3 linked regions of the Callithrix jacchus genome follow. The protein of the gene in region 1 purifies or fractionates together with the protein of each later gene. This does not show direct contact. Links are inferred from orthologs where the notes say so. Each region holds a gene or a part of one and is shown in the gene's direction. Other genes may lie near its edges. The genes, in order: HCK, CDC37 and HSP90AB1.

Region 1 (2,456 bases):
GCGGTGGCTGATGTCTATAATCCCAGCACTTTGGGAGGCCGAGGCGGGTGGATCACGAAGTCAGAAGTTCAAGACCAGACTGGCCAACATGGTGAAACCCCGACTCTACTTTAAAAAAAACACAAAAATTAGCTGGGCATGGTGGCTCGTGCCTGTAATTCCAGCTACTTGGGAGGCTGAGATAGGAGAATTGCTTGAACCAGGACCCGGGAGGCGGATGTTGCAGTGAGCCGAGATTGCACCACTGCACTCCAGCCTGGGCTACAGAGCAAGATTCCATCTCAAAAAAATAAAAGAAAAGAAAGAAATTGGAGAGCTCCATTTTAACCCTCTTAAATTTGAGATGACTTAAGTATAGAGACATACAAGTAAAGGAAGCACTTGAGTTCATTTATTTACAGCAGTAGGGGTCAGAATTGCAGTCACCTTTATTTTCTGATGCTTTGCTTTTTATTTATTTATTTATTTGAGATGGAGTCTTGCTCTGTTGCCCAGGCTGGAGTATACTGGCATGATCTCAGCTCATTGCAACCTCCACCTCCTGGGTTCAAGTGACTGTCCTGCCTCAGCCTCCGGAGCAGCTGGGATTACAAGTGTGCACCATCACACGTGGCTAGTTTTTGTATTTTTAGTAGAGAGGGGGTTTCACTATGTTGGCCAGGCTGGTCTTGAACTCCTGATCTCAAGTGATCCACACAGCTGGGCCTCCTGAGTTTGGAGTTTGAAACTAATAATATAAAATTGGGGATCATGGACATTGAATAGCTATTCTTATGAATAATAAAAACTTAAATTGAACAAGAAAATGGTCCCACCCACAGGGTGACACTGAATCTGGCCACCTGACTGCTTTGTCCTGAGAGGGCACTAGGCAGAACCAGACAACACACTGTAGATGCCAAATCCAGAAGGATGTGTTCTGCTACAAGCCACAAAATGACAGACTAAGAGTAACTGAAACAGAGCAAGCTATTACTCCCCCTCTGGCACTGGTGACTGGTTAGTTCAGCGGCTCAGCAGGACTGAGTCGGGACTCTGGGTTCCTGTCTCTGTGTTGATGTTCTCCGTGTGGTAAGATGGTGGTTGCAGCTCCGAGTATCATAAGTATCTCACAGTGTCCAAAGGAAGAGACGAAGGGTGTGTTCTCTAAAGACTGTCCTCTAAGTGGGAGGAAAACCTTTCCTGGCCTCTCCCAGCAGACCTCCCTGTCAGCTCCCATTGGCCAAAACCATGTCCCGGGCCCATGTCCTAGCTGCAAGTGAAGCTGGAGGAGGAAGTCTCTGGCTTCACAGTGGGAGGGGCTCAGCTTGCAAGGTGAGGTGGGGAGTGACAGCTGCTGGCGAGGCCACAGGGCCTGGCACCTCTGGGATCTCGTTTCCAAACTGCTTCCTTTTTACTTCCATGTCTCCTTTTCAGGGATGTCAAACCCTGAAGTGATCCGAGCTCTGGAGCGTGGATACCGGATGCCCCGCCCAGAGCACTGCCCAGAGGAGCTCTACAGCATCATGACGCGCTGCTGGAAGAACCGTCCGGAGGAGCGGCCGACCTTTGAATACATCCAGAGTGTGCTGGATGACTTCTACACGGCCACAGAGAGCCAGTACCAACAGCAGCCATGATGGGCAGGACCAGGGCAGGGCCAGGCACCCAGGTGGTGGCTGCAAGGTGGCTCCAGCACCACCCACCAGGGCCCAGGCTCCCTTCCTACTCCCAGACACCCACCCTTGCTTCAGCCACAGTTTCCTCATCTGTCCAGTGGGTAGGTTGGACTGGAAAATCTCTTCTTGACTCTAGCAATCCATAATCTGACATTGTCAGGAAGCCCCACACTTGATATTTCTGTTTCCTGGAATGGTTGGATTTCAGTTACAGCTGTGGTTTGGATGGGAAACTTTCAAAATAGTGAAATGAATATTTAAATAAAAGATATAAATGCCAAAATCTTTACCCAAAGGTTGGTTTTCCTGTCCTTCCAATTCCTAAATATCTATGTGCCTTCTTGCTGTATGACAAGTCAGAAAGTGTGAAGGACTCTCCCAGGGACCAGAAGTACAAAGGCAAGTGGGGTTCAGGCTGGGTGCTGTGGCTCTGACCTGTAACACCAGTGCTTTGGGACACCGAGTTGCTGGGGGGTGCTTGAGCCCAGGAGGTCGAGGCTGCAGTGAACTCTGATCGTGCCACTGCACTCCAGCCTGAGTGACAGAGTGAGACCCTGTTTCAAAAACAAAAAAAAGAAAGAAAGAGAAAAAGGAGAGAAAACTGGGGTTCAATGTGTGAAGTTTTCTAACTGCCCTAAAATAGTTGCTGGCTGGTATTAGTTTCCTCTTGTTCCTGTAACGAATTACCACACACTTGGTAGCTTAAGGCAACACAAATGTATAACCTTACTGGGCCGGGCACAGTGGCTCATGCCTGTAATACCAGCACGTTGGGAGACTGAGGCAGGCGGATTATTT
Region 2 (3,283 bases), on another chromosome or scaffold:
AATGCAGTTACTCGATCTGAGCTCAGTGCAACCTCTGCCTCCCCGGTTCAAGTGATTCTCATGCCTCCACCTTCCAAGTAGCTGGGATTACAGGCACCTGCCAGCCTCTAGAGTTTTAACCTGTGCATCTGCAGGAACAGGGCTACTCTTACCAAGATTGGGGAGACCAAGGACAAGGCAGGCTGGAGGGACACTCAGAGGCTGGGAGGTGGCTATGTTAAGTTAGAGGCGCCTATGCAGGGACACTGAGGACGTGAGTGTCACACATCTGCGGTACAGCAGGGCTCCCAAGCAGGTGGTCTTTAGCAAATGCCAGATGAGGTCCCTGGCTGGGGGAGCCCAAGACTTAGGGACCCCCTCATGTAGGTCAGGAACAGACTTGGGATGCCTCTGAAGCGCCTCTGAGGAGCTGCGGCTGGAGGGTCTTGGGCTCCCCAGTCCCTTCTGAGCATTGGGCTGGGTCCAGTGAGCACTGCCCAACCCCCGTAGACAGCGGATCGCCAGTACATGGAGGGCTTCAACGACGAGCTGGAAGCCTTCAAGGAGCGTGTGCGGGGCCGTGCCAAGCTGCGCATTGAGAAGGCCATGAAGGAATACGAGGAGGAGGAGCGCAAGAAGCGACTTGGCCCCGGCGGCCTGGACCCTGTTGAGGTCTACGAGTCCCTCCCGGAGGTGCGGTTCCCCAGGCCAGGCGGGCAGCAGGAGGGCCCTGAGCAAGACCCCCAGGGCCACAGGGACCCAGCCCCTGACCCCAGCTCCTCTGCACCCCCAGGAACTCCAGAAGTGCTTCGATGTGAAGGATGTGCAAATGCTGCAAGACGCCATCAGCAAAATGGACCCCACCGTGAGTAACCCTGGCCCTCCATGCCTTTCCAGCAGGCAATGTGTCTCCCCCAGCCCTGGGTCCCAAGTCTCTGAAGCCGGCTGGTGAAAGTACTCCTCCGAGGCTTCTCCAAGGAGTCAGGGGGGGTCACGTCACCTTGGCATACACCCATATTTATTGAGCACCTACTGTATCCCAACATCCAGCAGATGATTGCTGAGCTTTCAGTGCATGTCCCTCGTGACTGACAGTCACTGTTGCTGTGATGGCGTCCAGCCTCAGTTTCCTTATCCAGACCACGTTTTCTCTCAATATCAGCCCACAAAATGTTTGGGGAGGGGAGCCGAGCACATGGCAGTGACTGGTAAATGCTGGATGTTAATAGGGTTTTGACTGCTTGTTTTTGAGAGACAGGGTCTTCCTCTCTTACCCTGGCTGCAACTTTGACCTCCCAGGCTGAAGTGATCCTCCCACTTCAGCCTCCCCAAGTAGCTGGGATTATAGGCTGACACCATGACATCCGGCTAACTTTTTAAAAACATATGTTTTTATAGAGACAGGGTCTCACTGGCTATAATTTTGGAAGTGGTAATAGAGTTTGAATCTAAGTAGGACACACTTTAACTCTGTTCCTACCACTTGGCTCACTGGTTGGCCACACTGGTTTTCTCATCTGTAAAATGGGTCTAGTTGCAGGACTGGCCCTGAGGTTCTAGAAGCTTCTATGGGCATAGCCACCTAGACCAGGTCCTGCAAACTGCACCTCGAGGACTCACTGCCTATCTTTTATAATAAAGTTTTATTGGAACAAAGCAGCCACGCTCAATTGTTTCCCTATCACCTACAACCGATCTTGCTCTACCGCAGCAGAGTTGAGTCGTGACGGAGACCATATGGCTTGCGGAAACAGAAATACTTAGTCTGTCCCTTTACCAAAAAAATTTGCTGGCTTTTTTTCTAGATTGCACTATCTAAATTTAAATTAAAGTTAAATAAAATTTAAAGTACCAGCTGGGCAGCACTTCGGGAGGCTGAGGCAGACAGATCACCTGAGGTCAGGAGTTCAAGAGCAGCCTGGCCAATGTGGCAAAATCCTATCTCTACTAAAAGTACAAAAATTAGCCAGGCGTTGTGACAGGCGCCTGTAATCCCAGCTACTCTGGGGGCTGGGGCAGGAGAATTGCTTGAACCTGGGAGGCAGAGGTTGCAGTGAGCCGAGATCACACCACTACATTCCACTCTGGGAGACAGAGTGAGACGGTCTCTATATCAATAAATTAGTAAAATAAAATGAGCAGGAAGCCAGCTTGGGAATGTGCAGGGGACAACAGGGTGGCCACCAGGTGGCAGCCCTGCCTCACCTGCCTGCTCTTCTCCTTGCAGGACGCAAAGTACCACATGCAGCGTTGCATTGACTCCGGCCTCTGGGTCCCGAACTCTAAGGCCAGCGAGGCCAAGGAGGGGGAGGAGGCGGGTCCCAGGGACCCGCTGCTGGAAGCTGTTCCCAAGACAGGTGATGAGAAGGATGTCAGCGTGTGACCTGCCCCAGCTGCCACCACCATCTGCTTGCAGGCCCCTATGCGCCCCTTTTCAGCAAACAGATAGATGCCATCTCCCCTGCTCCTGGCCTCCTCCACTTGCGCTGCTCGGCCCAGCCTGGGGGGCCCACCCAACCGTCCCTGCCCTCTCCACTGTCCCCACTCTCCAGTGCCCATTCAAGTCTCTGCTTTGAGTCAAGGGGCCTCACTGCCTGCAGCCCCCCATCAGCATTATGCCAAAGGCCCGGGGGTCCGGGGAGGGGCAGAGGTCGCCAGGCTGGTCCATCAGGTAGTAGGGGAGGGTCCCCAGCCAAGGGGTCGGCTCTGGTCACTGGGCTCTGTTTTCACTGTTTGTCTGCTGTCTGTGTCTTTTATTTGGCAAACAGCAGTGATGTTCCAATAAAGGATTTCAGATGCTCTGGGCTGCTGTGAGGGCTGTTCAGGCAGCCCATCTCTTGTGGGTGGGAGTGAATCCTGGTGGAATATTGGAAGCTGGGTCTTGGTACTCTAGTCCTTTGCCCTCCAGCCGTTGTGGGTCCTTGCCTCACACATGCTGCTCCACCACTTTGAACAGTCTTCCTCCAGAGGCCCTAGAAGCCTACCACCCTCAGTTCTCACCCACCCACTCCCCTGTCCCTACTTTGACCTCCAGAATACAGGGTTGCCCAAGCTGATCACCGCCAGAGGGCAGCAGTGATCTGTAAACCAAGTCACGTTTTCTAGGGTTTTGCGAATTTTGCCTGCCCACGCCCACCTTTGCCCCTGCTGCCCCCTTAGAGCTTCCTACCATCATTTGGGGCAGCATCCTGGGCTATATCTCTCCGCCCTATGGCCAGTGCTGCCCTCCAACATTTTTGTTGTTGAGACAGTCTAGCTGTTGCCCAGGTTGGAGTGCAGTGGTGTGATCTCTGATCACTACAAC
Region 3 (4,248 bases), on another chromosome or scaffold:
TGACACTGAAAGGATCCAGCTCGGGAAGCCCATCCCACAGGAGTGATTCCTGCTTTGGATTTAGGTCCTAGGAGTGAGATCACATCCCTGCTCCATTTGTAGAGCAGGAAGGGAGCTAGTGCAGCAAGGGCTCTGAGAAGAGGGACCCTGGGAGTCACTGAAGCCATTTTCCTGTTGATAGAAAGTGCACACTGACTTTCATCTGCTCACAGGACAGTGAGATTTTGTGAATGCTCTGTAAACTGGGGAGCAGATTTTTAATGAGCTAGGCCCCACTGCTTAGAAGGAGAGGGCATGTTAAAGGATCACACTCCCTCGGGTTTGCGGTTTTGGTCAGGAACAGAGCCTCCAACGCTCCTTCCTATAGACTTCTCCCAGCCATTGGCTTTTTGCAGACCATAAAGGAAGGGAGAAAGGACATAAAATCGGGGTAGTGATGGCGGGCACGTTGAGGTGGACAGTGGACGGGGACAATGAAGAGGAAAGCATGGGACTGCCTTTGTTTTTTGGTATTCAAAGCTTGTTAAGGAATGTAGATGGGTAACAGGGCTGGTGAGGGAGGACGATGTGGGTGGTCGTGGGGAAAACCCTTCCCAGGCATCCCAGGGGTGGGCCAGGAAGGGGAGTAGAAGGACGTCTACAAGGCACGGGAGTGGTTATTCTCTCCTGGAGGGGCTGTGGGTCCAGCAGGATTTCGGATGAGACCTTGGAAAGGCAAGGCAGCTTGCCAACTGGAAGGCAGGCAAAAGGGCTGAACCAGGCCAGACATGGCGGTCTGCAGCTCACTGGCCAGGGGCATGGCCTACCCGCTCTGACGCCAAGGCTAAAGGGGAACAACTTGTCCAGCCGCTCTCTGGCCGGCGTCGTCACGAGGCCTCCATGAGCTCTGACTGCCCTGCAGTGGTTCCTGGAGACTCCTCACCTTCCCATGTCCAAATAGCTGCAAGAGGGAAGTGGGCGGAAAAAAAGCAAAACAGCTTGGGAAAAGGCTTGACGTGCCTGCGTAGGGAGGGTGCATGTTCCTGTGCTCCGTGTACGTGGCGGCCGCAGGGAATGGAGGGGGTCCCTCCAGTAGCGACTCTGTTTCCAGTCTCAGTCTGCATAAGTGGACGCCCGCAGAGGCGCCCCAGGTGCCCGGGTGTTGTGTGATTGACTGGGGGAAGGAGGGGTAGGTCGATCCCTTCCTAACGCTCCATCCCATCCCCGAGGATTGGGCTAGTAGGTCGGACGGTCAGAGCCGGAGGCCGGGCAGAGTCGCCGTAAAGACTCTGCTCCCGCCGGGCAGCAGCCGGAGAGGCGGAGCCTCGCGGGGAGGGGGCGGGCGGGGGCCGGACCGCCGAGACAGACCTGGAAACTGCTGGAAAGGCCGCAGTGCCGCCACCGCCGCCGCGTCTTCCGCCGCGTGCCGGCAAAAAGTCCCCACCAGCCCCGGCCGGCGCCCTCTCTCAACGCTGATCTACCCACCGTAGCTAAGCCTCCGCCCTTCCTGTGCGCCTGGGAGAGTCGGATCTGTGGCTGCCCAAGGTTGGGTCCCGAATTCCAATTCTTTCTACCGGGATGCGAAATGTGTGGGGCAGATTCTAGGAAGAAGATTGCGTCTGGGAGCGGCGGTCGGTGTGGTTAGCCACCTCCGCTTTTTTTAGGTGTCCCCCTCCCCCAGCCCCGCCCTTGGGTGTGGGGACGCCTGCCCCACAGGTTTTTAGGGAGGATAGTGGGTCCTCGTTCGTAGAGACACTGCTTTGTCAAATGAGCACTCCTCATCCCCGCTCTTGAGCGGGTCATGTCCTAGACGTGCAGACATGGGGGCTGTGGTCACAAGCAAACGTGTGAGTGGACCCGCTGCTTGGGTTCTTCTCTGCCCCCTCCCTTATTTCGGACCATGACGTCAAGGTGGGCTGGTGGTGGCAGGTGCGGAGTTGACAAGGGTACTCCTTTAAGGCGGAGGGATCCGGGGGAGGGGGGCTGTGCTGTGCTTCGCCTTATATAGGGCGACCTGGGGCGTGAAATAGCTCTCTTGAGTCGCTCCGGCGCTGCTCTTGTCTGTGTGTGTGTGTGTGTGTGTTGGACAGCCAGCCCACCTTGCTTTCTAATACCTGTGAGCCTTTTCTTTTGAAGGTAAGGCCGAAGTCTCTGCCAGGTTTCTTTTCCTTCACTGCTCTTTCGTTTTGCTGTTTTCTTTTTCTGTTTTTAGGAAGCCCAGATGTCGGGGTGGGCTGTGGATAACGCCCTGGATTTTTACAGGGTGAGGGTGGTAGTAGGTGAGGGCTCTTGAGTTTTGCTCCGTTTTCTCTTGTGTGCTTGGGCGGTGGGCTTTTTTCTCGGCGGCTGCTAGCCGTGGCGAGGTGGGCTGAGGGGTTGGGGGAGTGGGCGGAGGGCAGCTGCACGTGGTGGCCGCGCGGCCCAGGACGCTGCCATTCTTGCTTCTCCACTTCCGGAGGCGGCTACAGGGCGCCGGAGGGGGACCGCAGGGTGGCGGGGGTGCTCGCATGGGGTGACTCAGCACGGCCCTGCGGGACTGGCCTCACCATCTCTCTTTACGGCCGCGTCGAAAGCCTTGGGTGCTTTGTTTCTGTGAGGGCTCACGGTGAGGGAGAAGCGTTTTCGGCCTCCAGCTCCCATATTTCCTCCTTCCAGATCTTTCTTGCAGTCCCCGTGGAGGAGGGGTGGGGAGAGGGCAGGGTCTGGAAGATTCTTGGGCTCCCTCCTCCGCCCCTCCTCGAGAGCTGAGATTGTTCTGGAAGCTTCTGGATTCTGGCGCCCCGCCCCGGTGCCCGGATGCTGGGGAGAAGGGAGGGTACATGGTGGCGTCCCCTCCTCGCGTGGCCCCTGCCGATGCATGTTCAACAGTGACGAGAGTCGGCCCGGTGGCTACGGCCACCATCTTTCCTGTGTTGGGTTTGGTCCTGTACTGTAATTCTGTGCTGTAAAGGGGTCGTGGTTGAGCTTTTGGTTTTTCGATTTTTTTGTCTGGATTTAATTGCTCCTCGGGCTGGTGGCCTACGGATCTGATTATTCCTCTTTGCCGTGTGGGGCAGAAGTCCTGCACCTTAGGCTGATTTTAGGAAGACACCTCAGGGGGACCGGTTTAACGTTAGTGCCATTTTAATCTTAAACTACTGGTTACTTTGACCTCCCCCAAATATAAAGAACCGTAGCTAGTGATTTTCACATTTAAATTTGCGCAAGGATTACCAGGGATCCCTAGATACCTGGGTTGGACCAGGATTATGAGTTTCTGCCATACTACCAGGTGACGCTGAGCCTGTTGGCCACCATTCTTTAAGTAACTGGGTTCTGTGACATTTGGTTGAAGAACATTGTAGCTTATTTTCTTTTTCCTTTTGATTTGGCTTCCCACTTAGTGTGTAGCCTGAGAGCTTTAAAGAGAATGCTTTTTTCGTCTCTTGGGAAGGGATAATAGTACTCAGCTTAAACCACCACTCAACTCACGTTTTAAGGTTCCAATGACAGGCAACCATTAGGATTTCTAAATATGGGGCCTTCATATTCTTTTGTAATTAATTACTATTTTTATTTTAGATGCCTGAGGAAGTGCACCATGGAGAGGAGGAGGTGGAGACTTTTGCCTTTCAGGCAGAAATTGCCCAACTCATGTCTCTCATCATCAATACCTTCTATTCCAACAAGGAGATTTTCCTTCGGGAGTTGATTTCTAATGCTTCTGATGTAAGTGCTCTGGTTTTCACATTTCATATATTTTAACATTCTGGAAGAAGGAGAGGGGTAGTTTGGCCTTTGTTGGGGACTACTGTTGAAGAGGTAAACCTGCAACTATTCCAAAAAGATTTGTCTTACTTTGTGGCCATTTTGAAGTTGGAAGGGACTATGTCCAGGATAAGTGGGTTGGTGTAACTATGGTTCTAATGCCTCAACATAAGGGGCAATCAGATTGAGGCTGACAGAAATACACCAAGATTTTCTTTGAAGATAAGGGCTTTAACAAAACAAAAGTGGGCGCAGTGGTTCATGCCTGTAATCCCACTACTTTGGGAGGTGGATCATGACTAGCCTGGAGTTCAAGACCAGCTTGGCCAACATGGTGAAACCCTGTCTTTACTAAAAATAGAACAACAACAAATTAGCTGGGCATGGTGACGAGTACCTGTAATCCCAGCTACTTGGGAGGCTGAGGCAGGAGATTCACTTGAACCCAAACCCAGGAGGCAGAGGTTGCAGTAAGCTGAGATTGCGCCACTGCACTCCAGCCTGGGCAACAAGAGCCAAACT

What was found.
Region 2: the proteins of HCK (region 1) and CDC37 purify together in Homo sapiens (affinity purification with mass spectrometry; 3 studies listed by BioGRID and IntAct, with this or other methods). This does not show direct contact. The link is inferred for Callithrix jacchus from reciprocal best matches to the Homo sapiens genes HCK and CDC37.
Region 3: the proteins of HCK (region 1) and HSP90AB1 purify together in Homo sapiens (affinity purification with mass spectrometry; 3 studies listed by BioGRID and IntAct, with this or other methods). This does not show direct contact. The link is inferred for Callithrix jacchus from reciprocal best matches to the Homo sapiens genes HCK and HSP90AB1.

Annotation. Positions count from the first base shown.
Region 1 is NC_133506.1:7,101,893-7,104,348, reverse strand, and holds the end of HCK (tyrosine-protein kinase HCK), read left to right. Parts: intron 1-1,416; coding exon 1,417-1,619; 3' UTR 1,620-1,941; downstream 1,942-2,456. UniProt on the Homo sapiens protein: Non-receptor tyrosine-protein kinase found in hematopoietic cells that transmits signals from cell surface receptors and plays an important role in the regulation of innate immune responses, including neutrophil, monocyte, macrophage and mast cell functions, phagocytosis, cell survival and proliferation, cell adhesion and migration.
Region 2 is NC_133523.1:9,582,219-9,585,501, reverse strand, and holds the end of CDC37 (hsp90 co-chaperone Cdc37), read left to right. Parts: intron 1-489; coding exon 490-672; intron 673-772; coding exon 773-844; intron 845-2,206; coding exon 2,207-2,362; 3' UTR 2,363-2,780; downstream 2,781-3,283. UniProt on the Homo sapiens protein: Co-chaperone that binds to numerous kinases and promotes their interaction with the Hsp90 complex, resulting in stabilization and promotion of their activity. Inhibits HSP90AA1 ATPase activity.
Region 3 is NC_133505.1:52,710,531-52,714,778, forward strand, and holds the start of HSP90AB1 (heat shock protein HSP 90-beta), read left to right. Parts: upstream 1-1,388; 5' UTR 1,389-1,524; intron 1,525-2,008; exon of another isoform or gene 2,009-2,115; intron 2,116-2,410; exon of another isoform or gene 2,411-2,584; intron 2,585-3,540; coding exon 3,541-3,687; intron 3,688-4,248. UniProt on the Homo sapiens protein: Molecular chaperone that promotes the maturation, structural maintenance and proper regulation of specific target proteins involved for instance in cell cycle control and signal transduction. Undergoes a functional cycle linked to its ATPase activity.